Mytilus edulis: one gene and its partner. The protein of the gene in region 1 purifies or fractionates together with the protein of each later gene. This does not show direct contact. Links are inferred from orthologs where the notes say so. Each region holds a gene or a part of one and is shown on either strand. Other genes may lie near its edges.

Region 1 (12,980 bases):
ATAATTATCAAATGCGTGTTTACAAAAATTACCATTCAGACCGTGTGCGAAACTTTTAAGTTAAAAACAATTCAAGACATTCAAGTTACAACATTTTGCATTTTTTGTACAGGCACTTGTCTCCGAAATTTTATTTCCTTTATACCTTAATGTGTCATAGGGAAAACAAATTCTGAGACAAGTGCCTGTGATTTTTGGTCAAAGATTTGTACAATGATAGTTGTTACTTTATGTTATGGTACAAAAATCAATAAAAGAAATCAATTCGTTTTGACCCCAAATGACTTTTAAAATGTTTATATCATTTAAAAAGTTTAAAATTATCTGCCTTTGGTGAAAAAATGCCATTTTTTGCATTAAAATTGAAATATCCTTTTTAACTCATCTGTGCTCTATATATTTTATTATTATTTTCAAATAAGCTGTACATAAGCTAAACTATTGTAAAATTAAAGCGATTTCTGTAATTTAGTTCTTTTTATATTTCGATATTACTGTTTTTTTCTCCTATTAGTTCAACAGAAAAAAATGTAACTTAACAAAAATGCATGCTTCTTTCGAAGCTAGGCAGATTGTGATTCAATTCAATTCAATTCAAAATATTTTATTGTTCAAATATAAAATGTACATTTAAACAAAGGGATTGGACAAAAGGCAGTGCCTATACAAATCCTTTCCCATACAAGATGGATTGAATAACATGCATGATAGTATATAATTTTCTGATAAGTTAATAGATCATACGTTGTTGCAGTGAGTCAGGGGAGGCAATTCCCCCACTTCTTGAAGTATTTTATTGTGTATATGTATATAAATAACTATGTTAACAAAGTCAAAGCAAGACCTACTGAAGGTGGTGTCGAATTTTATACCACATTAATAAGGGAGCTACCATTTGATTTTTATGGGGGGGCTAGGATGAAAAATTTTGTCCTGCATTTTTTTTTAGCTGTAATCTCTATCCTGCCTTTTTATTTTTCACTCTGTTCGGTCCTGCCTTTTTTTTTTAGTTTATCCTGACTTTTTTTACCTAAATTGTCGTCCTGACTTTTTTTTTTTGCAAGTGTCTCATCCTGCCTTTTTTTTTACTCAAAACTCCTGTCCTGCCTATTTTTTTCAAATTTCATCCTAGCCCCCCCCCCCCCCCCCCCCCCCATAAAAATCAAATGGTAGCTCCCTAAGTGTTGGTAAGGAATCAAGTAGATCATTAAGTGATTTTTTACTCAAATTCACAAACTCACTGCAACAAAGTTGTTCTATTTATATGAATAACAAGAATTGATTGGCCCTTTTTTGCAATACATAAGTAATTTAGTGTACCATCTTATTACATGACTATTAATTTCTTGATTTTTGAAAATAAAATTACTAATACAAAAAATAAAATAAAATATATATAAATTTATTTGCAAAAAGATGCTAAACACAATTGGTTGTTTTTTGTGTTAAAAGTTAGGTTTGTCTTTAATTAAGACTAAAGAGTGGTACACTGTGGTTATAAGCTGATTTCTAAACAGTATAGTATCACATGAAATATTATAAAAATCTTCCAGTTTCATGAATATATTGTTGTACATATGTAAATATCTCTGTGTTTTCATCAATATTAAAGTCTGAGCAACCCTGTAGTAGGACATCAAGATTGACATTATTAAAGTTACTTATTTTTCTAAAGAGCTCATATCTCTGATAAATGTAAGATGGACAAACATAAAAGAAATATTAAATTATCTTCTACTGGATCTCCACAGGCACATATAGAGCTGTCTGACAAATGATCACAGAAAAGGTGTTGTTTTAGATCACTAGCCTCATTTCTTAATTGGCAGTGGATTATATTAACTTTACGTGAACCAGTGGAAAAGAAAACAGGACAAGGACTTATGTCCTCATTCAGTTTTCTTTTAAATCCTGTAAAGCTTAAAATATTTTTAACTTCTCCATCAAGTGAATTCCACTTTTCAAGAGTATGTGGAATAAAACTGTTCTTATAGGCTGTGGTTCGACACTGAGGAGTTTTAAATTCCCTTTTTTTTCCTCAGTCCATACTGGTCATTAGTGTTTGTATACGACAAGATATCAGCAGCAATATAACTAGGAATATCTCCAGAAATAGTTTTATGAAGAAACAATAATTTGTTTTTCTGACGTCTATTCTGGAGGGAATCCCAACCTAATTCCTTATATAATTTCCATCTAGGAGTTCCCTTTCGAAGCCCAGTTACAATTCTGGCAGCAGCTTGTTGTACAGACTCAATTAGATCGGATTCTTCTTGTGTGCAGTTATCCCAAATTATGTTCCCATATTCTAAAATAGGCCTTATAAATGCAATATAAAGTCTTTCCAGAGACTGTCTATCAATCTTATGTTTTAAATATCTCATAATATTAAGACGTTTACAAGCTTTTGAATAAATATCCTGTATGTGACTAGACCATTTGGCATTAGATGATAAGGTTATACCAAGATGTTTATGTTCTGAGACATTTTCTAGAGGTGCATCATTCATGCATAATGATGTGACATCAATATTACTTTTTCTCGTAAAGTACATAGATTTGGTTTTGTCTGCATTGAAGGTTACACCCCATTCTCCTGCCCATTGATCTAATGATTCTAGATCTTGCCCCAGGGATTCAGCTGCTGATCTCTCATCATGTACAACACAATATAGACAAGTATCATCTGCAAACAGTTTTATTTTGTTTGTAACCACATCTACTATGTCATTCACAAACAATAAAAACAGAAAAGGGCCCAAGATGGACCCTTGAGGGACTCCTGCCTTGACAGTATTCCAGTTAGAAAAAAAACCATTTACTCCAACCCTTTGTTGTCTATCAGAAAGATAACTTTTGAACCAGTTAAGCAAATTACCCTTTATTCCATATTTTCTTAACTTATATAGAAGTCCCATGTGCCATACACGATCAAATGCCTTTGACACATCGCAAAAAATAAATCTGACATCTTTCCCTTTGTCAAGATTTTTTACTATCTCATCATATAATAAAAGTAACTGATTTATAGTAGAGTCCTTGTTTCGGAACCCTGACTGTTGGTCAGTTAATATTGCATGATCATGTATATAGTTATGTAAATACTTAAAAATAATTTTCTCCAATATTTTGCTAAAACAATTAGTAACAGAGATAGGTCTGTAGTTTGAAACATTGTCCTGATCTCCTTTACCCTTGTAGATAGCTGATACATTTGCAAGTTTCCAATCACTGGGAACTATTCCTGATTGTAAGCTTTTATTAAATATGAATGTTAAAGGTGTAACCAGTGATGGGAAAATTGCCTTAAGAAATTTTGGAGGTAGCTTGTCAGGTCCAGCTGGTTTGTTAATATTTAAAATTTGGAAATGGTCAATCACATCCTGCTCTGTTATCACTATGTCAGACAGCTCATAGGGTGTCAGATTGTGATCTTAAATGAACGGTGACGCCATATTGGTTTTTTTTCTTTTTTTCTATTAAGTATAGGATTAAGCTTATGTATAGAAAACATTGCGAAATCCTATATTTAAAAAAAAGATGATTTATACCCGCAAGTTAATAAAGGGGAACTATTTTTTTATAAGTATAAAACTGAGAATGGAAATGGGGAATGTAGAACAAGAGTTTGTTGACATTTTCGACCCTGACTAAGTTCTGCTTTGTAGATCTTTCACTGAACATTTATGTTTTTACCGTTTCTCTTTATATCTATTATAGATTGTGAAAAAAGTCTGCAACAATGGAAAACATCATTTTTCAATGGAAGTCAATCCTTTTAGGAGTAAAAAACGAAAAACTATCAAAAAGGCAAAAGCTCAAATGAGTTGACATGTTTTTAGAAATCTCATTGTTCTGGTCATTGTTTCTGTCTCTGTTGCTGTTTTTTTTTAGAATCCAAAGAATTCGAAATGAAAAAAAAACATTATACAAAACACAAAGACTAAGCATCACGAACCCCATCAAAAAAAACGAGGATGGACCTTGATACTCGTCATGGTAGGAAGACATTAGTACAGGGCGGCTCTTGAATATTGTATCAACTAGGAGTGTATAATATATTTGCAGTCGCTGTCGGAACTTTGCTACATGGAATGGAAAGTTCACAATTGGGAAGCTGTGATTATATCTTTTGTCGTAAAGTTTTGTTCTCAAATGACCCTTGTTGCCAATTTCTAGATGTAAGCCAAGATATAAGGCAAACAAATTTTCTATGTTGTGATGTTATGCTATTGTTTCAGAAAAAGGGTTTGATTATATCAAAAGAAAAGATAAGGTCACCGTGCGTTTTTCCCCATTTAAAATACAAACAGCAAAATTCCATGTAGATTCCTTCAGAAAATGCAATATCTCAGAGTTACCTCCCCTTAAATTGCTAATTTAAAAATATTAAAAATCAATCAACACTTTCACAAATATTAATATTTATAAGTTATAATCTTATAAAGTTGTTTTTTAAATGTAAATTCACATTAGTAATCTGCATTCCTGCATCAAATTTTGCTAACTTGATTGAAAATCTGGACCTTAGATTCTCTGTTTTTTTACAATCCAAGATGGCGAAAAACACCCATACCACCTTAAAGTTGGTTTACGCCATCATATTTTGTGCATGTACCAAGACAATTATAATCGAAAATCAGGCAGGAGATATGGTGGACGATAACCATTTTTTCAGTTTTGCTCTTTTTGTACAACCTAGAAAAAAAAGGCAACAGATACCAAAAAGACAATTAAAATTCATATAAGAGGGTGGTAAAGGGTTATTTTCGTGCAAAGTGATCACCGTTTTTTATTTCACGTTCAACGTGTTTTTACTTTTTTATTTGACGTTCAGTCGTGCAAGACGGGTGCCTCGTTCAACGTGTTCTGCTTATTTAATTTTACGTGCATCGTGATTTTCAAAGTCTTATTGTGCGTGCTCGGTATTTTTCAAATAAAATTCAAACACTTGGCAGGGATCGTCAAAAAATACTTTTTTAAAAACCGTAAACCAATTATATCATAAATGTGTATACTAAATCGGGAATATCAAGTAAAACAAAGAGTTAATATATACAAGAAGACAGTGACTCAGTCACAAAAGGTTCAAATAAAAGTATTTATTTTTCGTGCAACGTTCATTACAAAAATTATTTCATGTTCAACGTGAAATTATGTCTTATTTCACGTTTTTTTTGTGCAAGCACCCCCCCTTTACCACCCTCATATAACCAAGGATTTGAATAGTAAGGAGGTCTTACTATACAAATCCTTGATATAACGAACAAAACAATGGCAAAATGAAATGCGACGAAAACCGGATAAACTGACACCAAAAAAATAGAGTAAAGAATAATGAGGTGCTTAAGGAGGCTCGCGGGTATAAGATTTTCAGAAAAAATTAAACATTAATTTTTCATTACAAATTTTATTGATTACCTTAAGTAGCTGTTACTTTATCATATGGTACAAAAATCATTCCAAAAAATCAATTCGTGTTGGCCCCATCGGACTTTTAAAATGTAGATATCATTGAAAAAGCTCCAAATTATCTCCCTTTGGTGCAAAAATGCCATTTTTTGGCATTAAAATTGAAATATCTTTTTTAACTCAACGGTGACCTATATTTTTTATTGTTGTTTTCGAATAAGCTGTACATAAACTAAATAATTGTAAAATTTTATCGATTTCTGTAATTTAGTTCTTTTTTTATTTCGATATAACCGCTATTTCTCCTATTAGTTCAACAGAAAAAAAGGACATTAACAAAAATGTATGCTTCTTTCGAAGGCAGATTGTGAGCGTAAATGAACGGTGACCCCATTTTTTTATTTCATTTTTCTATTAAGTATAAGATAAAGTTAACTTATAGAAAAATATAGAGAAATCCTATATTAAATAAAAAAATTCATTTAGACCCGCGAGCCCCCTTAAATGAAAAGAAGAGAGATTAATGGGCAAAAAGTATAAAGAATAGAGAAAAATAGCATAAAAATTTACAGAAATAAAGGACCCCTATTGATAAAACACGAAGGGATGCAGATGTGTGATGCAGGAAGATTTTGAAAATATTATGATAAATAAACATACGTTCATAGTTTACTTGTAATCATAATTTAACAATGTACTGGTAGCTAATATTTATAATACTTCCTATGCTTTAGTGCTTTGATTGTTTGGTTAAAAGTCGTAATCTATAGTGCGCTTAAAATCAATGAGACAAAATAGTTAATGACAAGAAAGTGATTGACACGGATCAACAAATTTGCAAAATGGCTGGAAGACGCGTGATGACCGAAGATCTCAAAAATGTTGAATTTGAAACCAGCGAAGAGGTTGATGTTACACCAACGTTTGATAACATGGGTCTTAGAGAAGAACTTCTACGAGGAATATATGCTTACGGTACATACATTAATTTATGAGAGAATATACGAATAAAATTGTGAATGGAAAAAATTATGGGGACAACAACTCGACCATGGCATAGAGCAGACACCAGGCGAAGGCCACCAATGGGCCTTCAATGCAGCGAAAAACTCTAGCACCCAGAGGTGTCCTTAGTTGGCCCCTAAACAAATATGTATACTAGTTCAGTGATAATGGACGTCATACTAAACTCCAAATTATACAAAAGAAACTAAAATTAAAAATCATACAAGACTAAAAAAGGCCAGAAGCTCCTGAATTGGTACAGACACAAAAATGTGGTGGGGTTAAACATGTAATGAGATCTCAACCCTCCCCTATACCTATAGCCAATGTAGAATAAACAAATGCAGAACAATGCACAAAAAATTATAATTGTATTTGTTCACTCGTGTTGGTAGTTGGTTTTTCTTCTTCTTTAGTTATCAGCAACGGAAAATATACCATCACACTGTTTATATCGTTTACATATTAGTTATTAGACAGGCTTTACTTTATTGATAGGTAGATTCTGCTTATACTTTGTTGCCCACAGTTTTGGTTGCCCTTTCTTTTAAGTAGTTTTCTACATGATGTATGTTGTGTTTTGTGTACTGTTGTTCATGTTGTTTGTCTTTTTCTTTTTTAGCCATGTCATTGTCATTTTAGTTCCTATTTAGGCAGAAACCATTTGATTTTCAGGGGGGGCTATGGATTCTTTTTGATACAGTTTGTTTCCAGTTTTTGGAGAAAAAATTATTTTATTTTTGACCCTGAGAAAATAAAATGTTCGTTTTACCCTCAGCTGCCACCATATGTAATTCTAAATTGAAAGAAAAAAGTTGTTTTCAACTTGCCGCCAGAAAAATAGATCTTTCTTGCTGAAAAAAAGGTTGTCCAGGAAAAAATCCATAAGCCCCCCAGAAAATCAAATTGTTGAAATAGCTGTCTTATGCATGTTATAAGTATGAATGTCCCTATGGTCTCCTTTGCCTCTCTTTTAAAATTCTTAACAGACATTCATGTCATAGATTTATTTTATTGTTTAATTATTTGTAGGTTTTGAGAAACCATCAGCTATTCAACAAAGAGCTGTCAAACCTATTGTGAAAGGAAGAGATGTTATTGCACAGTAAGTCAGACTTATTGAGTGTTTTGGTATTCATCCTATATATGGCCCCAGGTGCTTACAGGGCAATTCTTCTATCCATTTTGTAATTTACTTTTCAATTTCATAAATAAGTGAATTAGATCTTCTTTTATATATCTTATAAACAATATAATCTGTATGGTAATTAGAATACACATTTTTAATTTTAAAGTTTAAAATGATTAAATTAAGATAACATAGCTTGTAATTTTTGTGTGAACGAAAAAAATACATTGAGATGGTTTGTATAAGAACTTCTGATAAGCCATGTCAATGAAATGATGTCTTTCATGCATTCAACATTTTATTACTTTAAATAATTTTTTCTAGAGCTCAGTCTGGAACAGGAAAGACAGCAACATTTTCCATATCCATTCTACAATGCCTGGACACACAAGTCAGAGAAACACAAGCATTAATATTATCTCCTACTAGAGAACTTGCTACACAAATTCAAAAGGTAACAGTGTCAGTTTAAGTTCTAATATAAACATGATAGATAATGGATAATAAAAAGTATTTCAGTTTTACTTTTTGTTGGGGAAAATAGTTTAAAGTTCAAAATATACAATAATTACTTTGAATCTATATATACATGTAGCATAATATCTTCTCTTTTTCCATTAAAGAATTTAAAACATAAGTCTTCATTCAAACAGGCATGGTTATACATTTGATGAAATTCAATGGGGTGTAGTATTTCAACAGCAGAAAATGTTTTGCTTTAAAAAGTAAAGCAATGAATCTTAAACTGTCGTTTTTTTTTTTTTTTGCCATGGGATGTCATTTTCTTTTAAACTTTATTTAAAACTGGTTTATGTAAACATGAGGAAGATGCTAGGTCTGATTTAATTCATCTTATATATGACAGGTTATCCTAGCTTTGGGGGATTACATGAATGTACAATGCCATTCCTGTATTGGAGGGACAAACATTGGTGAAGACATCAGAAAACTAGATTATGGTCAACATGTGGTATCAGGAACACCAGGCAGAGTCTTTGGTAACTTTTAACTATAAATTAAAAACATAACTACATAAGAGGTGTTATCATGGTTTACCTCAATAGTTTTAAGAAGATGTGGTATGAATGCAAATAGTGTTTCCTGCAGCTTTTAAAAAGGGCAGGGTAATTGTTAGCTCAGAGGGCACATTAAGCTCGATGGACAACAATTTTAGGGCACTTACAATGTACTTAATATAAACAGGCAATTACTATAAAATGGATTCATTTAAAACATACTAGTTTAATGCTATAAAAAGGACATATAGGCTACATCTGTAATCAATCATTAAAACAAATTGTTAAACAAGAAAAAGTGTTTAAAACATATATATGAAATATTTAAAACAATAAACATAATTAAAAACAAAATCAGTTTTTTAAAAATGTTTAAAAACAAGAAAGAACTACATTGTATGTCATATATATAAAAATATTGCTTTGGTCATATCAATTGTCATTGACAAATCCTCCTTTTTTTCCCTAAAAACAGGTTGACACATTCCCTGATATCCAAATCATCTATTGATTTGGTATTTGCTGACACTAGAACAAGATTGTTTACAGTTGACACATTCAGTCTATTTCTGCGTTGTGAAACTGTCATTTGGTGCTGAAAATAAATAAATTACACATAAAACAAGAATATCTTAAATAATCTGGAAGTTTTTTCATAAATTGTTCCTTTCTTAAATTAATTCAAATTAAAAACTGAAGATTTCTGAAGTAAATTTAAAAAAAATAATTTGATGAAAAAATGAATTAATTGAAAGTAATTAATATGCAAGTGATTTCATGAGATCCTCGGCCTAACTCAACTTTAACCTTAAATTATCCCTTTGGCAGAAGTTTATTTTTACCCCCGAACTGACACCGTTGCAAGTGCGTAACCATTTTGTAATAAAAATCTACAAACCTTTGAAAAAATGATAAAAGCTTTCTGCATTTTGCGGCCTGTTTCTCATTTTCTTCCTCATGTTTTCGCTTCATCCGATTTGTTGATGGCATGATTAGTATCTGTATTCACTATTCAATCTATTGCAGTTTGCTAATCAGCTGATTACGAAATCGATTACAAAATGGCGTCCTAGTGAACTTTGTTTACGTTTGAAGGGAAATAACTTGAGCGGTATTCATAAAATATGTCTTTCAGTACCGGTTGTTAATTACGACGATAAACTGATAAAGGCATGGCGTCAGGAATTTCGACAAAATTAGGACAGGGCGCCAAATTTTTTTCCCAAAAAGGGCAGGGCGTCGAGAAATCGCGACTGGGCGCCATTACACGCCAAAACCACCTGTAGGAAACACTAGCAAATGAGACAACTCACATCCAAGTCACTATTTTTAAAAATAAACCATTATAGGTCAAAGTAAGGTCTTCAACATGGAGTCTTGGCTCACACCGGACAGCAAGCTATAAAGGACCCCAAAAAATTACTAGTGATGTGTAAAACCATTAAAACAGGAAAACCAACGGTCTAATGACTCTAATCATTAACCAAATTAAAAATAAAGAATGAGAAACACTTATAAACCACACATCAACAAACGACAACTCCATAAGATGAGTTATTATGCTTTACCTCTAATACATTTCTGAACCACACCCAGAACAAGTTGATATGACTTATTATTGTCCTATGTACACACATATTCTTGTTACTTTTGTTTGATCATATTATTATTTGTAATTGAAAACATCTTCCCTTTTCATTCTGTTTTTTATTTTTTTATTTTATTGTATGAGATTTGACTTGTCGTTACAGATATGATAAAAAGAAGAAATTTGAGAACAAGATCAATTAAGATGCTGGTGCTTGATGAAGCAGATGAGATGTTAAATAAAGGTAATAAGGCCGAGAAAAAAAAGATCGATGTTTCCGGTAACCCGACCGACCCTGTTTTTTAGCCACGACCCTAACTTTTTTATTGGATCTTCAAAAAAAAAAAAAAAAAATTGTATCAACCGACCCCGTTTTTGACACAGGCTTCTGATAGATGACAATATTTTTTCTCTCTTACTTCTACTTGCATAGAAAGCCAGTAAAACATTTTATTAATGTCAAAAGGTATTCCAAATAGGTTAAAATCCAAGAAATTTGCACAGCAGGTGCTTCAAAAACATTGCAAATGGCACACTTCCGGTTTTTGAAACTAATTACGGATCCGGACTTGGAAAAACCATGATAATTTTCCGGATTTCATTTACGATGTCAAAAAAAAAAAGAAAAAAAAAAGAATTCCGACCTACCGACCCTATTTTTCAAAATGATGATACCGGAAACACATATCTTTTTTTTTAGGCCTAAGAGAACGTAATGAAATTATTTGGTACCATTCATAAAAAAACAAGGGCTAATCCAAAAAAAAAGAAATAGGAATTGAATATGTTTGGTTTTTTTTATACCACATCACCCATGATTTTTATTTTTCATTTGTGGTAGAATTGTATTTGCTTTCACTCCATTACCAACAGAAAATCATGTAATGTCAAACTCTTTCAACGGAATAGCCCTAAATGTATAGAATTGAATGTTGTTGTCTTGATGGAAGAAAGTAGCCAACTTATCATAACTGTATTCTCTGTGGTCACTTAAATAATCGCAATGAACATATTACGAGGATTTTTTACAATTTCAACAGTAAAAAAAACAAAAAAAACTGATTCATATCTCGTGTGATCATGGCTTAACCATAACTACACATGTATTACCAATGTTATTTCAAGTGATCGGGCGGAGTATATGTTTTAATTTGCATAAGGACAGTCTATTTGAAGATGTGTGTGATAAGGATGATTGCCGTTATAATTATTACTGATTTCTAATCACTTATCAGTGTCATCAAATGAATTTACAAAACAATGATTGCACACTTTATTGATGAGTTTATTCTAAAACACCAAGGTTAAGATGGACATATTTCTTTGTGAACAGTTTATTTGTACACATCGTTTGTAGTTTTATTATGTATATATCTTTTTCAGGCTTCAAAGAACAGATCTATGATGTATACAGATATCTGCCACCTGCCACACAAGTACTCTTAATCTCTGCCACATTGCCACATGAGATTTTAGAAATGACCAGTAAATTTATGACAGAACCCATCCGTATCTTAGTCAAACGGTAAAACCTTCTTTTATATTTTGCAAAATATATGTTTAAAGTTTCAACCGTATTTTATTTAATTTGTAAAGCATTTGAGATCTCTATTACTTTGAACTTCCTATTTACATGATTTATCAAATTTATTTGTTTTAAAATTTATAATTTATTTCACATTCACACAAACATACCATGTATATTTTGAATCATACATTATAGCATTAATCTTGTTTAGATCTTATACCCTTTGCTGTCATATAAAAAGGAGTTTTGTCTCTTCTGTTGTATGCATGAAAAATCATATCCGTGTTATCAAAGTGTATACTTGAATGTAAAATACAATTGAAAATTCACTTGCCTGCAAGAGAAATATAAGTTAAATTTGAATTACCTCCCATTATGTGAAGGAATATAAGATATAAAAAAAAAAATTAATACGGTACATTTTTGGGATATGATTGCTTTCAAGCAATCTGTAGACATATACCATTGACTCAGGGCCATGCCCTCACGTCAACCGTTTTATTCTAAACATTAAGGAACATCTCAGATTCTTATGATTGTCTTGCTTTAAAAGGTAAAAACAAACAAAAGGATTGAACTTGAACAACTTTCCTGTAATGTTCTTCTCATAATCTTCATGTTTGATATTTCCCTTGACTTATATGCGTGTTTTTAACAACACAGAAAATCAGAATTAAGCAGTATTTATATTTAGTGTTTTTATAAATTTAGAAACACGTCATAGGGAATTCCCCAGTTTTGATAAAATGGGATAGTTCTCTGAATTCCGATAAATCTATTTCTGTCATATAAGAACTGAAGTGGAGTTTTTCTTATATGTCACCGTTATGAAACTGATATTTAATATTGTACTCTCATAAAGAAATGGAGAACCATCTAGGTCGTTTAATTATCATTTAATAAACGTTCTTGTTCCAAATCACAAGTCTATGGTTTGTTTATGTAATTATGCGCATGCGTATAGTTTTCTTGACTTCAAGGGGTATCAGATTAAATGGTTGCTCTGGATTCCCCACTCCATTGATTAATTTGAAACTCATGGGATCCTTTCTATGTCTGTCTGCAATTGATGGTTATTGTTGTTGCATAATTTTAAATCACATGCATCATTTAAATTTAAATAAGTGTAGTCCACATCGTAAAGATGTAACTACAACACCCCTTCAACCGAAATGGAGTCTTCCATATTATTGTTTCGAGTTGTCTCCCTTCAGTAAGTAACTTTGGTTGATATGACTCGTCAAGAAAAATTAACTCGTTAGATGTCGATAAACGTCGTATTATATTAAAAACGATCGCAAT
Region 2 (12,840 bases), on another chromosome or scaffold:
AAATCCAGAGTCAAAGGTACATTTGTGTAATATGCAAATGATCTATTTAAATCCATTGTGACACTTACTTTTTATTGGAATTATTGGCATTGAAAGCTGTGTAGTTTGGATTGTTATGCAGTTCATCATCCCCTACTTGGATATTTAGTTGATTAATTATATCTTGTCTTATATTGTCACGAACACTAGAATAATTGTCCTGTTGCTGCCAGTGCCTCTGTTCAGGGCGACGCCCACCAGGGAAAGGGGGACGTCCCTGAAAACGTGGGCGTGGTCTAAAATTTTGTTGCATTGGCATGTTCATGTTGTAGTTTTGCATGTAGGCTGGAAATTGCTGCTGCACATAATACATGTAGTTTTGGTCCTCAAACTGAGGATTGTAACCTTGGTGATACATTGTTTGTGAGTTATTATCAAGATATTTATCTGCAGTACAAGTCCACTCAGATTTCAGTACAGCAATCCATTGAAGAAGTCTAGTAACCACCGACTGTTTACGAGAAAACTGTATTTGACCCAAAACACTGCATGCCATAAAATCTGAAAATAAATAATTTACATAATTTAATTGAGAAAAAGTGAAGGGATTTCTAAATAAATGCTGCTATATTTTTAGACAAATAACCAACACTTAAACTATGTGTGTAACTGAACATTGTTGAACAGAGTGTGGACAAGTTGGGGTTTTAATCTCCAACATGTCCAAGTGGGATATAATTTTACTGAGCAAAATCATTTTTGGGGATTCAAGGGTTAACATGAATATTCTCAATTTAACGGGATTAAAATAAGTGCAAATAATTACATCAGAAGTAATAACTTTGATTTGGCATCTTTTCTCAATCAACAAAACAGAGTGTTTTTAAACGAGTTGGATCTCTTGAAAGATGCAGATTTTTAAGAAGAATCAATCTACATGTAGCAACATTTCATTTACTGGAAAAGTCAAATGTTGAGAGTACCCGGTAGTATGTAATTCATGTGTAAGACTTTTGATGTTAATATAGAAAATTAGGTGTTTTATCTTATTTAAGGCTTTGATTTCTAAAAAAAAAATACAAAAATGTACCAATTTGATTCAGTTTTTTCCAACTTGCCAAATAAGGGGAGATAAATCAGATAAAGCAATTATATAAAGGAAGTGTTGTGAATTTAATGCTTATTTCAATATCTAGCATTTTTCTTTTCTGAAAGCAAGTCCCAGAGCTATCTTTTCACATTTTTTTCTTCAAATTCTGTCATGTAGCAGGGCTTTCCATTGAAGCCGGTAGCCGGCGGAAATCCGCCGCTTACGGTGGCTTCAAGTGCCGGCTATTTCACTGCCAAAAATATAAATTCAAAAAGAAAAAAATATCTTTTTCAAATGTTTACAGGCAGCCGAGAGACGTTTGTCGCAAAGTCGCGGTCACGATAAACAAGAATGAAAAGTCAATGTTTACCGTGGGCTAAATATAGTTCACATGAATTCAGGTCACTGATTGGTTGTCTATTTAAAGTCAGAATGCATCGTTTCTTTTCAAAGATAACAAGAGAGACGTTCCGGTTGTCATTGAAAGATAACAATAGAGACGTTCCGATGGTCATTAACTCGTTGGCTTTTTTTGGCTTTTAAAACGTGAAGACAATCAGATAGGATGACAATCTTATGTTATGGAATAATATTAGTCAAATTAAAGAAAGTTTAGTAGATCATATTGTTCAGAATCTGGAAAACAGTATCTTTTGAAGTTCATTTTTCAAAGCCCACGTGGTGTTCAGAGAATCAAGGTCAAAAACGAAAGTAGAATATTGTCGACTCGACCTCAAATAAATAACATTTCCAAATGATTTATGTATCCGACTTATTGAACATTTTCCCAAAAAAATAGAAAATCAGAGGATATATCAATTTTCTGTCAATGCTTGAGAAATAATTGTATGATTTAAATACGCGTAACAGTCTTTAGAGAGAAAAGGGGGGGGGGGGTCATTTGTTTACAAATGCACGTAGTTATGCAAAATAAATAGATCAAGATTTCTAACATATCGGATGATTATTTAAATAAAACTCCTTTAAAAGTAAATGAATTTTAAGCATAAGGTAATGAAAATAAAAAACTGACATAAAAAAAATGAAATTTCTTGGAGTTTTTTTTTTTCTTTCTTTAATTTCATACATAAAAAATGGTCATTTGAAAGATTAAATTAGGTGCCAAGAGATTGCGAGAATGCAGGATTTTTCTCTATTTATGCCAGAGCTTCTGGGGGCCTTGAGCGGCCCCAAGACCCCCTGCCGTAAGGCACCAAGCTTACAGCTTGGTGGGCGTCCGGCTTCGCCGAACGCATGTTATAGCCGCCTATAATTTTAATTCAGCCTTCTACTTCCATTTTAATGGAAAGCCCTGATGTAGTTTTCTTTTTATCACACAAAATGGGATTTTCCATGCATAATCTATACACAAATATAGTCAAAATCTGACAATTTTGCACAACCTGAAATTGACCTGTAATGTGAAAAATATTCATGTGATGCATACTTTTATTACATTTTTGAAAAAAGCACGACAAAAACTACATTTTGACAAATTATTAAAAATTTCTATGGATTTTAATTAAGGCTTCCCTGCCACCTAACAGATGTTCCTTTAGGCTCTGAGAAGTTTAATTTCAATCAGAATGACAGAATTTTCTTCCACTTGGAATTAAATTGTAATGTATTAATAGTAATATTTAAACACATATATGAAAATGACATCCTAAACTCAGACTCAGGCACCTGTACGTTGTTGAAGCTAAAGTCTTAGAGCAGTTTCAAAACCTAACATTAGTAGTGACAGTCATTTGTCAAAAAAGTTGTGACAGAGAAATGTTATGCTATAATCATCATGATCATTGTGAAATTGATATATTTTGAGTATATGCCCCTTAGCATTGAGGATCTATGATTGGTCAATAAAAACTTTTATCTTGAATCTTGCTTCTTTGAGTTTGACAGCCAGTTTACAGAATTAATAATTTGCGAATATATGTTTGTTATTATAAGCTTTTGCATGTATATCCTATTACTCAATCGGTTAAATGATCCTACTCTTATCAGCTTATCTTACTTCAGGTTTCGAAGTAACCGAGTCAATTTTGTAAACACAGTTCAACGTGGTTTAGGTACCTGTGCACAACGTCACTGATATTGAGGGAACCCAAATTCGAATAAATGCAAGATTTCACAAGTAAAATGAACGTTGTTACAATGCGTATAAAAATACCACTATACAGTTAAAATTGTATCACTACATAAAAAAATCAATTATGGAATGAGCTGCCAAACCACATAAGACAGGAAAATTGTCTAACTCAATTTTCCAATCTAATACAGAACTGGAATGGCAGCTCATGCCAATGTAATGCATGCCATTAGTGATTGATACATAGCTTTGCTTCCCCCCTTTTTTTTATATATTAATACTAAAATTAGCTAGCTATGGTTTTATATTTCTATCTGCATAAACAGTACTATTTTATTTCCTTATGTTATGTATGTGCTTTCAATAAAACAGTACTATTTTATTTCCTTATGTTATGTATGTGCTTTTAATACCCTGCTTTAATGTATGTATGATTGTCTTAATATGTGTGTTTTGTTTACATATTATTTGCTTGTGTGTAATTTATTATAATGTCGATTTTAAAAGCTTAAGAGCTTGTGTTACTTTGTTTACTATGCATCGACAATAAATAATAAAACTTTGATTTGATTTGATGATACTGTTACTTCTAATTTTGATGGTCTATTGGTTTGTATTGTTGGTTTTCGATTGAAGGAGGTTTTTTCAAGTCACAAGTTCACGATCTGGGACTTAAAGTGTATTACCCTATTACAAGTCAGTGGCGTAGCTAGGTCATTTTTGCGTGTACGCCCGAACCTCGGCGAGGGGTCTGAAGACCCCAAACTGATCCATGTCAAACAATTTCTGGTAGTGGATTAGATCTAGGGAGCGAGGCCCCCGGAAGCTAATGAGTTATCGAGAATGAATACCATTCCTGTCATTAAAAACTCATCAGTATCAACATACTTTAGAATCTAGATGGTTTATTTGTTATGTTAAATTATTCATTTTGTTAATTTGAAATAAAATAGTTATTGGATTCAGAGATAATGTCAAAACAAGTAGCTTTTAAATATGTTTTAAAAGAGCTGTGAGGGTAAAGCCAGGCGCGTAGCTCCCTATACGCTAACACGAAGTTGCGTGCACATCGATTCGGCATGCAAAAAAAATAATGGCAAAATAAAAATTTATCAATTGAATGTTAAAGGAAACACGTATGTTGTCACTTTTTCAATTGATAAAATATCATTAAATAACGGCATTTGGTTTCAAAATAAAAGTTTTATTGGAGATGATGGCAAAATCGGACAGTAACTTGTATCTTTTACAAGATTTGAATTTGTAATACTGAAGTCTTTAGAAGACATGTAGTTTTGGAGCACATTTTACAGTGTACGGTTCATCAGTTTGGAATGAGATGTACCAATCGGCATTGGAATTATCAGGTCCCTTCGATATAATTGAAAATATGCCGAGGCGATGTGGTCGGCAGACTACCTGAGCCAATCACCCTGCAAACACGCCAAAACAGTATTGGAAAGTCTCATTATGTTTTGCGTTCATAGACCATATGATAAGGGAACTGGAGAGTGGAGTCGCGTACGTCTAGTATTATCAGAAAATCGCTTCTTTGTGCTGTATCTGCTTCATCGTGTTGTAGGAAATATAACAGACGAACAAATCTCAACATTGTCTGAGACATACGAAACTGACCTGGCATGTAATTTTGACGAATTTAATTGGGAGGTCGCTCGATGCCGAACATGTACGCTGGTTTATAACATCTTGCGAGTGCTACCATGGAGATCTATCAGTGTACTACGTATGTTGAAAACAAATGTACGATCAACAATGAACAACGACATACAGTTACTGCATATTCATCGGTATTTCAGTGTGAATATTGACAAAGTAATAGAGAAGTTTGTTTCTGCCTAGACCCGAAGAGCAGATTTTTGACGATTTTGAGTAAATTCTGTATCACAAATATGTTTTCTTTATGTATTACTCTATTCAGAAGATTTATTAATAGTTTTACAATAATATTTTTTTTATAAGTCCTCACTACATATAGTGCCTCTCATTAACCGTCCTTTGACCGAAAACCGAAAAAAAACATTTTTCTGCAAAAAAAATTTGGGAGTTGCTTGCACATTGTTTCTTTCTAGCTACGCCCCTGAAAGCAATTAACCAATTAACAAAATCACCTTTTAATTTCCAAATTTCGTAAATGAACATTAATCTTCAGAGATTTTCAGGTGCAATAATAGATATCGTAAAGGGTTCTGTGGAATGCTGTTTTTTTGTGTCAAGGATTCCCCCTGCAAATAGTGAATCCATTTATCATTCCATTACAGGATTTTTAAAAAATCCAACATTTTCTTTAGATATTTTGTCTTGATCTTGAGTACTAGTTTTGGCCCAAGTTTCATGATAATTTATGAAGATTGATGCATTGATAATTTATAAAAAGCCATATAGGATCGCTATGTCGCGCTTTGGCATCTTAAATACAAATGTATGTCACAGGCTCAACAAAACTGTAAACCACAAAACGATTCTAAGGAGATAAAGGATTGCTTAAAACAAAAGGGAAGGGAGTATAAAACTCACATTAGCTTCAGACTTGACAGAAAATGAACAAATAAATGATATGATTCCATTTGACTGAAAGTAAATTTTGTCAATTTTATTCACAATTACAAGCCAACGAAGAAAGAATTATAAAGCTGATGTGCTTCTAACAAGTTATTTTTATTTTCTTTAGATTGCTTTTTCAATAGCCTTGGAGAAGTCCATATATAATTAAGCAATCTGTTTGCATTCCTTCGTCTAGGTTTTGTGTAATATCATCTATGAAGGGCATTATGTTTGTCTGAGTGGGACATGATGTTGTTGGTTAGGTAATTACATGTATGTGTTCCATGATTTTGCACCTGCTATACACGTTAAAGATACCGTGGACGGTAGTTTTCTGCTTTGTACTTTTGACCTTTTTTTGAAGATAGGACAAACGTTGGCCATTTTCCAGTCTATTGGTAATTCTCCATATTCATAAGAGTTTTGGAAGATGATACTGAATATTGGTGTTATTTCGGTGGCTATACGGTTACGGTTTAGAACCTTAGCAGATGTAAGTTGGTCTCAGTGGTCCATAAGATATAACACATAAAACTTCAGTAAGAGTCGGTATATGCAATTCAAGTAAAAATACAAGCTTTGAAGAGCTTTTAAAAGCAGCTGCCGTGTGTGATCGATTTAGACTTTATTAGTATTTTCAGTATTCCATGCATGACATATCTGCCAGTGATGTTAACTTCTGGCATAGATGGATAATTTTTGTTTGAAGATCCACATCTATCTTGGAATTCCTGGTTTGAAATGCTTGTTCTCCCAGAAAAAGCAGACTGAAACTGTTGGTTAATTGTATATTTGCTTGATCATAATCTAACTTGACTGAGGATCTTGAAAAAATAGGGTCGACTACCCTATTTTTTCAAGTCAGTGGTAATTAAGACTGATTTCTGCTAATAAGCAAGCTAACCAAATACTCTACCTTAACCTACATACTCAATGCATTCTGCTGTATAAAAAAAGAATATCCATTAAATCATAGTATTCATATATATATAACATCACGAAAGACCAAAGTACATATGCATCTATCATGAGTCATGATAAAAAAAAAAACATATTTTATCTTGTACAACACTGAAGCCATATGTTTTGCACCATTTGAATGCATATCGGTAGATGTATTTATGTATTATATTTCGATATAATTTAGAGGCACTTTACAGGCTCAGTCCTGTGTTTCTACAATTTATTTCTGTCTTTTATTCATACCGGAACGTCATCATAATTTGTTGTGGTAGTGACGTCAACGGCCTTGGACACAAATGGCATGAGTTAGGAGGAAACGCATTCCGACCAATTATTTCCCGTTATTGACATGAATTAAGAGTCAACACGTTAAACAGATATAACAAAGAACCGTTTGTAATCAAGCGATGCCAATATGAGTGTTGACGCTTACGCCCCGAATTCCCAAACGTTGACATTCCTTGAAACAGAGGAGGATCTCCTTGGGGCCGACACGCAAGGAACGGATTTTGATTTCACTGATTTTACGCTCCCGTCTCAGACACAATCTCAAACTCAAGCATCACAGCTTGACTCCAATCAAAGCCAGGTAAATAAGCATGTCAGTTTTCTTATCAGTTTAACTTGTCATGGAACGAAAGTATGCAACACGTGTGCAAACTTGATTGACTTTCAGTTTCAACGAGTTTCATTCATGGCAATCATACATTTAAGTGTATACAATAAATCAAATATTTATAGTATTTACATTCCGTCAAATTACATTCATTTTATCCAGCCCTTTCAAAACCAAAAACATCCTTCCAATTTGAGCTGTCTCAACTAACACCTACTACTACTAGTACCAGCAGAGCTCTAGATAAGCTGCGTATATGCCTGATCATGCAATATAAAGAAAACAATTGAAAACCCAATACAAGTGCCCATTGCAGCGTTCAAACACCCAATTCATGCAAACATGCAAAGGAAACCCCTTTTGACATGATTGAATGTGAAAACCTTAAGTCACTATCGTGTTATCTATTACATTGTCGTTGTGTAAATCTACATTTGTAGTTTTGTTATATTTATAAGTGGAAATGTCCTTTTGTTCTTAAAATACAATAGAGTGACACCTCAAGTAGTTGCAATGGGTCCCTGTTTGAAGTTTCTGATGCTCAAAAAGTACATGTGTTGAAGAAAACAGGTTTCGATCTTCTCTGCGTAATCAGCGTAAGTCATGTCATCATATTTAATTCTATCGTATTGATCAGAATTTATCTAACACATGTCAATGAATTAAAGCAAAATAAAATTTGATAAATATTTAATAGAACCATGTCTCAATCAACTTGAAAGTAAGTAGTACACATGTTCCCTAGGCTATGATATGATCTTCTAATTTCAATGCCAAATAAAGACATTTGAACCCAATTTCACGGTCCACTGTTCAAAGAAAATGATAGTGCTAGTAGGGCATCCGTGTGATATTGGGGTACAAGTCAAATTGGCATCCGGTTAATTCAGCACCCACAGAAAAAGTCAAATTGGTACCTGGTTAAATCGGCATCTAGTCAAATTGGCACCTATTTGAAGTCAATTGGGCATCCAATTATATTTGATATAAATATATATAAACTATTAAAAAAATGAATAAATGATCTTTCTATTTCTGATTATTTTTAGTTTTTTTTTAACATTAATGACTCAAAATTCTATGACTCAGACTGTTGTTTTGATAAGTTTTCTTTTCAATTAATTAATTTTAAGAATTCACTAGTACCTATACAAATCTTTGTTGATTAAAAAGTCAACCAAACCCATGTCTTACTAGCATTATTAAAAGAGCTGTACATCAGTGTACATTGTATCTCTATAGAAGTAGTTATTGATGTTTTTTTTTTTCTTCATTGAAAAACTAAATAAAAAACAATGAAGCCTTTTCGCAAGATGTTGTTTAATCATGAGAAAGTTAGAAGTAGTAAGAGGGAAAACTATGAGTCCTTTTCATTAGTATCACTAATTATATGTAATTCTAAGGTCGTTTTGCAGGAAAGTTTAAACAGCATTAAACCAACAATCATGCAGAATGCTCATCTGGTTGAAACATGCATAAAAAATATCTTACACCTTTAATACACTCACATTAATTTGAACGAAAAATAATGCATACAAACCCCCCCCCCCCCCCCCGAAAATGTAAATTGGTCAATATTTTGGGACAACCCCTTCTTTATTTTAATCGATTTGCTTAGAATACTGCCGAAAAATATATATTAATTGATATAAAATATATAAGACATATTTAATATGGGTGCCCAAATTACTACATCAGGTGCTGATTTAACCAGGTGCCAAATTGACTAAGTGCCCATTTAACTATACTGGGTGCCGATTTGACCAGGTGCCGATTTGACTAGAATTCGACACATTCTTGTTTTTGAAAGGTTAAGAAATTCATGAACTACAAATATAGGACCCTTGCTAAACATGCAATTTTAGGCCACAAAGATTTTCTAATATTTTGTACAATGTACCTTTCTTCAATGCTGAGGATTGTAACTTGACATGTTGGATAGACTGAGACCTATGTTTTTCTTATAAATGAGAATTGAAGTTTTATCTTTTTGAGATGTGTTTGTAACTTTGTTTATAATATTTATCAGGTGAATGGTATAGATGGCAGTATCCCTAATGACGTGGATGCGAAAGGTACCATCGAGGTGAAAGTTAATAATGTTGCACAGGGAGTTGGGGAGCTGAACTTTGAGGAAGATGAAGAAGAACAGTTTTGTATGAAAGATCTCCCCAAACATGCATGCTCGTAAGTTCTCTTAATGATAACTATTAAAAGCTATAAACATTTGAAGTATATGGCTTATAAAGAATAATCATGATCTATAAATGTATTAGTTGGAAATGGGCGACAGCTTAAGTAAAGAAGAAACAGTGCAGTTTCATTTCAAAAATATGATGATAATCTTCCATGGCAATTTTTTCTAAATAATCTTCAGAGATAAAAAAAAATTGTAACAGAAAGGTGAAAAAACTAAAAGGACATTAAAACTCGTAAGTTGAAAATAAAATTACAGTACCAAGGCGAAAAAAACAAGACGACAAACAGGATACAAAACATGAAGAAGGTACAAATTTTATGTAATTAATTCCTCAATCCAAATACCTTAGACTTTGTATAAAAATTCACTTGTTAGGCAGGCACCTGCTACATTTTGTACATGTATTATTGACTATTTACCAACCTGATTTCAAATGGAAGTACAAGTTACAACTTCTGCTCTATTGATTGTATACATTATATTTAAACAAGGTTTTCTATTATAGTTACTGTGGAATTCATGATCCAAGCTGTGTAGTATTTTGTAACAGTACAAAGAAATGGTTCTGTAATGGTCGTGGTAACACCTCTGGAAGGTTTGTATTCTTGTCATTTATGAAGATAAAAAGTCATGGTATTATCAAGATTTTTCTTGAAATATAGAAATGGTAGAGAAACAGTTGAAAAATCTGTAAGAAATGTTAGATAATATTTTCCACTTTTATTTTCTCAAGCAGGGGTATATAGTGATCCTCCATTTGTTTGGTCGGGAATTTGTCTGTTCATTCTTTTATTTGCTCATCAGCACTTGATATGATATACCCATCTTCTAAACCAGTGGCTGTATTTCACTGAAATTAAAAAATAAATAAATTATATCCAACATCTTATATAGCTAATGGAATTGTAAAGCAATTCATGCTTTGCTTAGTAAAATTTTCAGAGCTGTTAGTTTCAGATGGGTAAACAAACTTAATTCTAGTAGTTTAATTCTTTGAATTTTGCGATAAATTGTATGCTTGATTGTTAAAAACTAGCCAATAATAATGTGTTAAATGATACTACCTATAATTGTAGCCACATTATCAACCATTTAGTGAGAGCCAAAGCAAAGGAAGTGACACTGCATAAGGATGGACCCCTGGGAGAGACAATACTGGAATGTTACAACTGTGGATGTAGGAACGTCTTCTTGTTGGGTTTTATACCAGCCAAGGCAGATTCTGTTGTGGTCTTGTTGTGTAGACAACCTTGTGCTACTCTGTCCAACCTCAAGGATATGAACTGGTAAGTAATCAGTCTTGCTCCCAAGCCCACTAACCCAGACTTTTAAAAATTATCTCGACAGACCAATAGAATCCAACTACTTTTTTCGTAAAATTATGCTTTTGGTCTGAAGATTTATACAAGTTTATTGTGAAGATTTTGCCAAAATTAATTTCCTGTACAAGTTAATACATGTAGTAGTTTGTTAGAAAACTAATATGCTGTCTATCATGAGGTATTGATCATTGGAAATCAAGATATAAGTGCAGTGAGTCTGCTTTGTGAAAACAAAAGTTCAATCATCCACTAGAAGGCAACATTTCTTTGCAATTTTAAGTTTTAGCTTTTGTAGTATTTTAGATTATTAAAACAAAGTTCTTGACATGTGCCTTAATTATTATTTAATGACTAGCATATCTGCTCTTTGGTTTTGGTATTTGAAAAAAATAACACAAATTTTTATGCCCCATTTGTGGGCATTCCTGTCCCAAGTCAGGAGCCTGTAATTCAGTGGTTGTCGTTTGTTTATGTGTTACATATTTGATTTTCATTAATTTTTATATATAAATAAGGCCATTAGTTTTCTCGTTTGAATTGTTTTACATTGTCATATCGGGGCCTTTTATAGCTGACTATGCGGTATGGGCTTTGCTCATTGTTGAAGGCCATACGGTGACCTAAAGTTGTTAATGTTGTGTCATTTTGGTCTCTTGTGGACAGTTGTCTCATTGGCAATCAAACCACATCTTCTTTTTTATATATTATGTTTTCTGGTCTGTGCGTCCGTTCGTTCAGCTTCAGGTTAACGTTTTTGGTCGAGGTAGTTTTTGATGGAGTTGAAGTCCAATCAACTTGAAACTTAGTACACATGTTCTGTATGATATGATCTTTCTAATTTTAATGCCAAATTAGAGTTTTTCCTCATTTTCATGGTCCATTAAACATAGAAAATGATAGTGCGGATGGGGCATTCATGTACTGGGGACACATTCTTGTTTAGACCTGATTTCTGACAAAAAATAAAATAAGACTTTTCAACATTACACCAGAATTGTCAGAGGGCAAAATGGCAGAATTGTCTTCAGGTGATTTTTATGATACATAGCAGGCTATAAAAATTCTTATATTCCATTTCTTTTACAGGGATCCAAACCAGTGGCAGCCATTGATACAGGATCGTCAGTTCCTGTCATGGTTGGTTAAAGTACCATCAGACCAGGAACAGATGAGAAGTCGTCAGATTACAGCCCAGCAGATCAACAAGTTGGAAGAACTATGGAAAGATAACCCTGATGCTACTCTAGAGGATCTGGAAAAGCCAGGAGTTGATGAGGAGCCACAACAAGTTCTACTCAGGTAATGAAAAAGACATTTGAAATTTACACAACGGGTTTTTCTATGAAGAGATATATGACAGATCATGTCAGTGAGATAGCAACCTAACATTAAATGGCACTGGAAAAAGAATAAGAAGCCGCTTATTTATTTGATAATGTTACATCTGATATTTATGGCCCCTGCTCAGCATGTCTGTCTGAAACTATGGAAATTGGTTTCAGGTCTTTAACTTTAGTTTGCCTCAACCAAATATTATGAAACTTATACACATTAATGCTTATTACAACAAAACATAGATCAGATTTGAATTTGGGTGGCGTCACTTTTTATTACTGTTCTAGGGTTATGCCCCTTTACAAATGAAAAATATGATGAAATTTTTCGTTTCCATTCTCCTACATAAGTTTACCACATCCAAACCTTATTAAACTTATACACAAATAAAGGCAACAGTAGTATACCGCTGTTCAAAACTCGTAAATCCATGGACAAAAAACAAAATCGGGGTAACAAACTAAAACTGAGGGAAACACATCAAATATAAGAGGACAACAACGACACAGCATTAAAATGTAACACACACAGAAACGGACTAAGCATTAGACAAAATCCGATGAGAATAACAAGTATAACATCAAAACCAAATACATGAATTTGGGATAGAAAAGTACCGTAACACATCTTATAGTAATATGAATTAACACTCAAATATAAGAGAAAACAAACGACACAACG

What was found.
Region 2: the proteins of eukaryotic initiation factor 4A-III (region 1) and regulator of nonsense transcripts 1-like purify together in Homo sapiens (co-immunoprecipitation; 8 studies listed by BioGRID and IntAct, with this or other methods). This does not show direct contact. The link is inferred for Mytilus edulis from reciprocal best matches to the Homo sapiens genes EIF4A3 and UPF1.

Annotation. Positions count from the first base shown.
Region 1 is NC_092346.1:39,353,256-39,366,235, forward strand, and holds the start of eukaryotic initiation factor 4A-III, read left to right. Parts: upstream 1-6,220; 5' UTR 6,221-6,254; coding exon 6,255-6,387; intron 6,388-7,449; coding exon 7,450-7,522; intron 7,523-7,870; coding exon 7,871-8,000; intron 8,001-8,411; coding exon 8,412-8,544; intron 8,545-10,313; coding exon 10,314-10,394; intron 10,395-11,533; coding exon 11,534-11,675; intron 11,676-12,980. UniProt on the Homo sapiens protein: ATP-dependent RNA helicase. Involved in pre-mRNA splicing as component of the spliceosome. Core component of the splicing-dependent multiprotein exon junction complex (EJC) deposited at splice junctions on mRNAs.
Region 2 is NC_092347.1:39,447,578-39,460,417, forward strand, and holds the start of regulator of nonsense transcripts 1-like, read left to right. Parts: upstream 1-6,921; 5' UTR 6,922-7,101; coding exon 7,102-7,275; intron 7,276-9,331; coding exon 9,332-9,489; intron 9,490-10,007; coding exon 10,008-10,097; intron 10,098-10,578; coding exon 10,579-10,788; intron 10,789-11,910; coding exon 11,911-12,123; intron 12,124-12,840. Other genes in the region: poly(A) RNA polymerase GLD2-like, read right to left, coding at 69-535. UniProt on the Homo sapiens protein: RNA-dependent helicase required for nonsense-mediated decay (NMD) of aberrant mRNAs containing premature stop codons and modulates the expression level of normal mRNAs.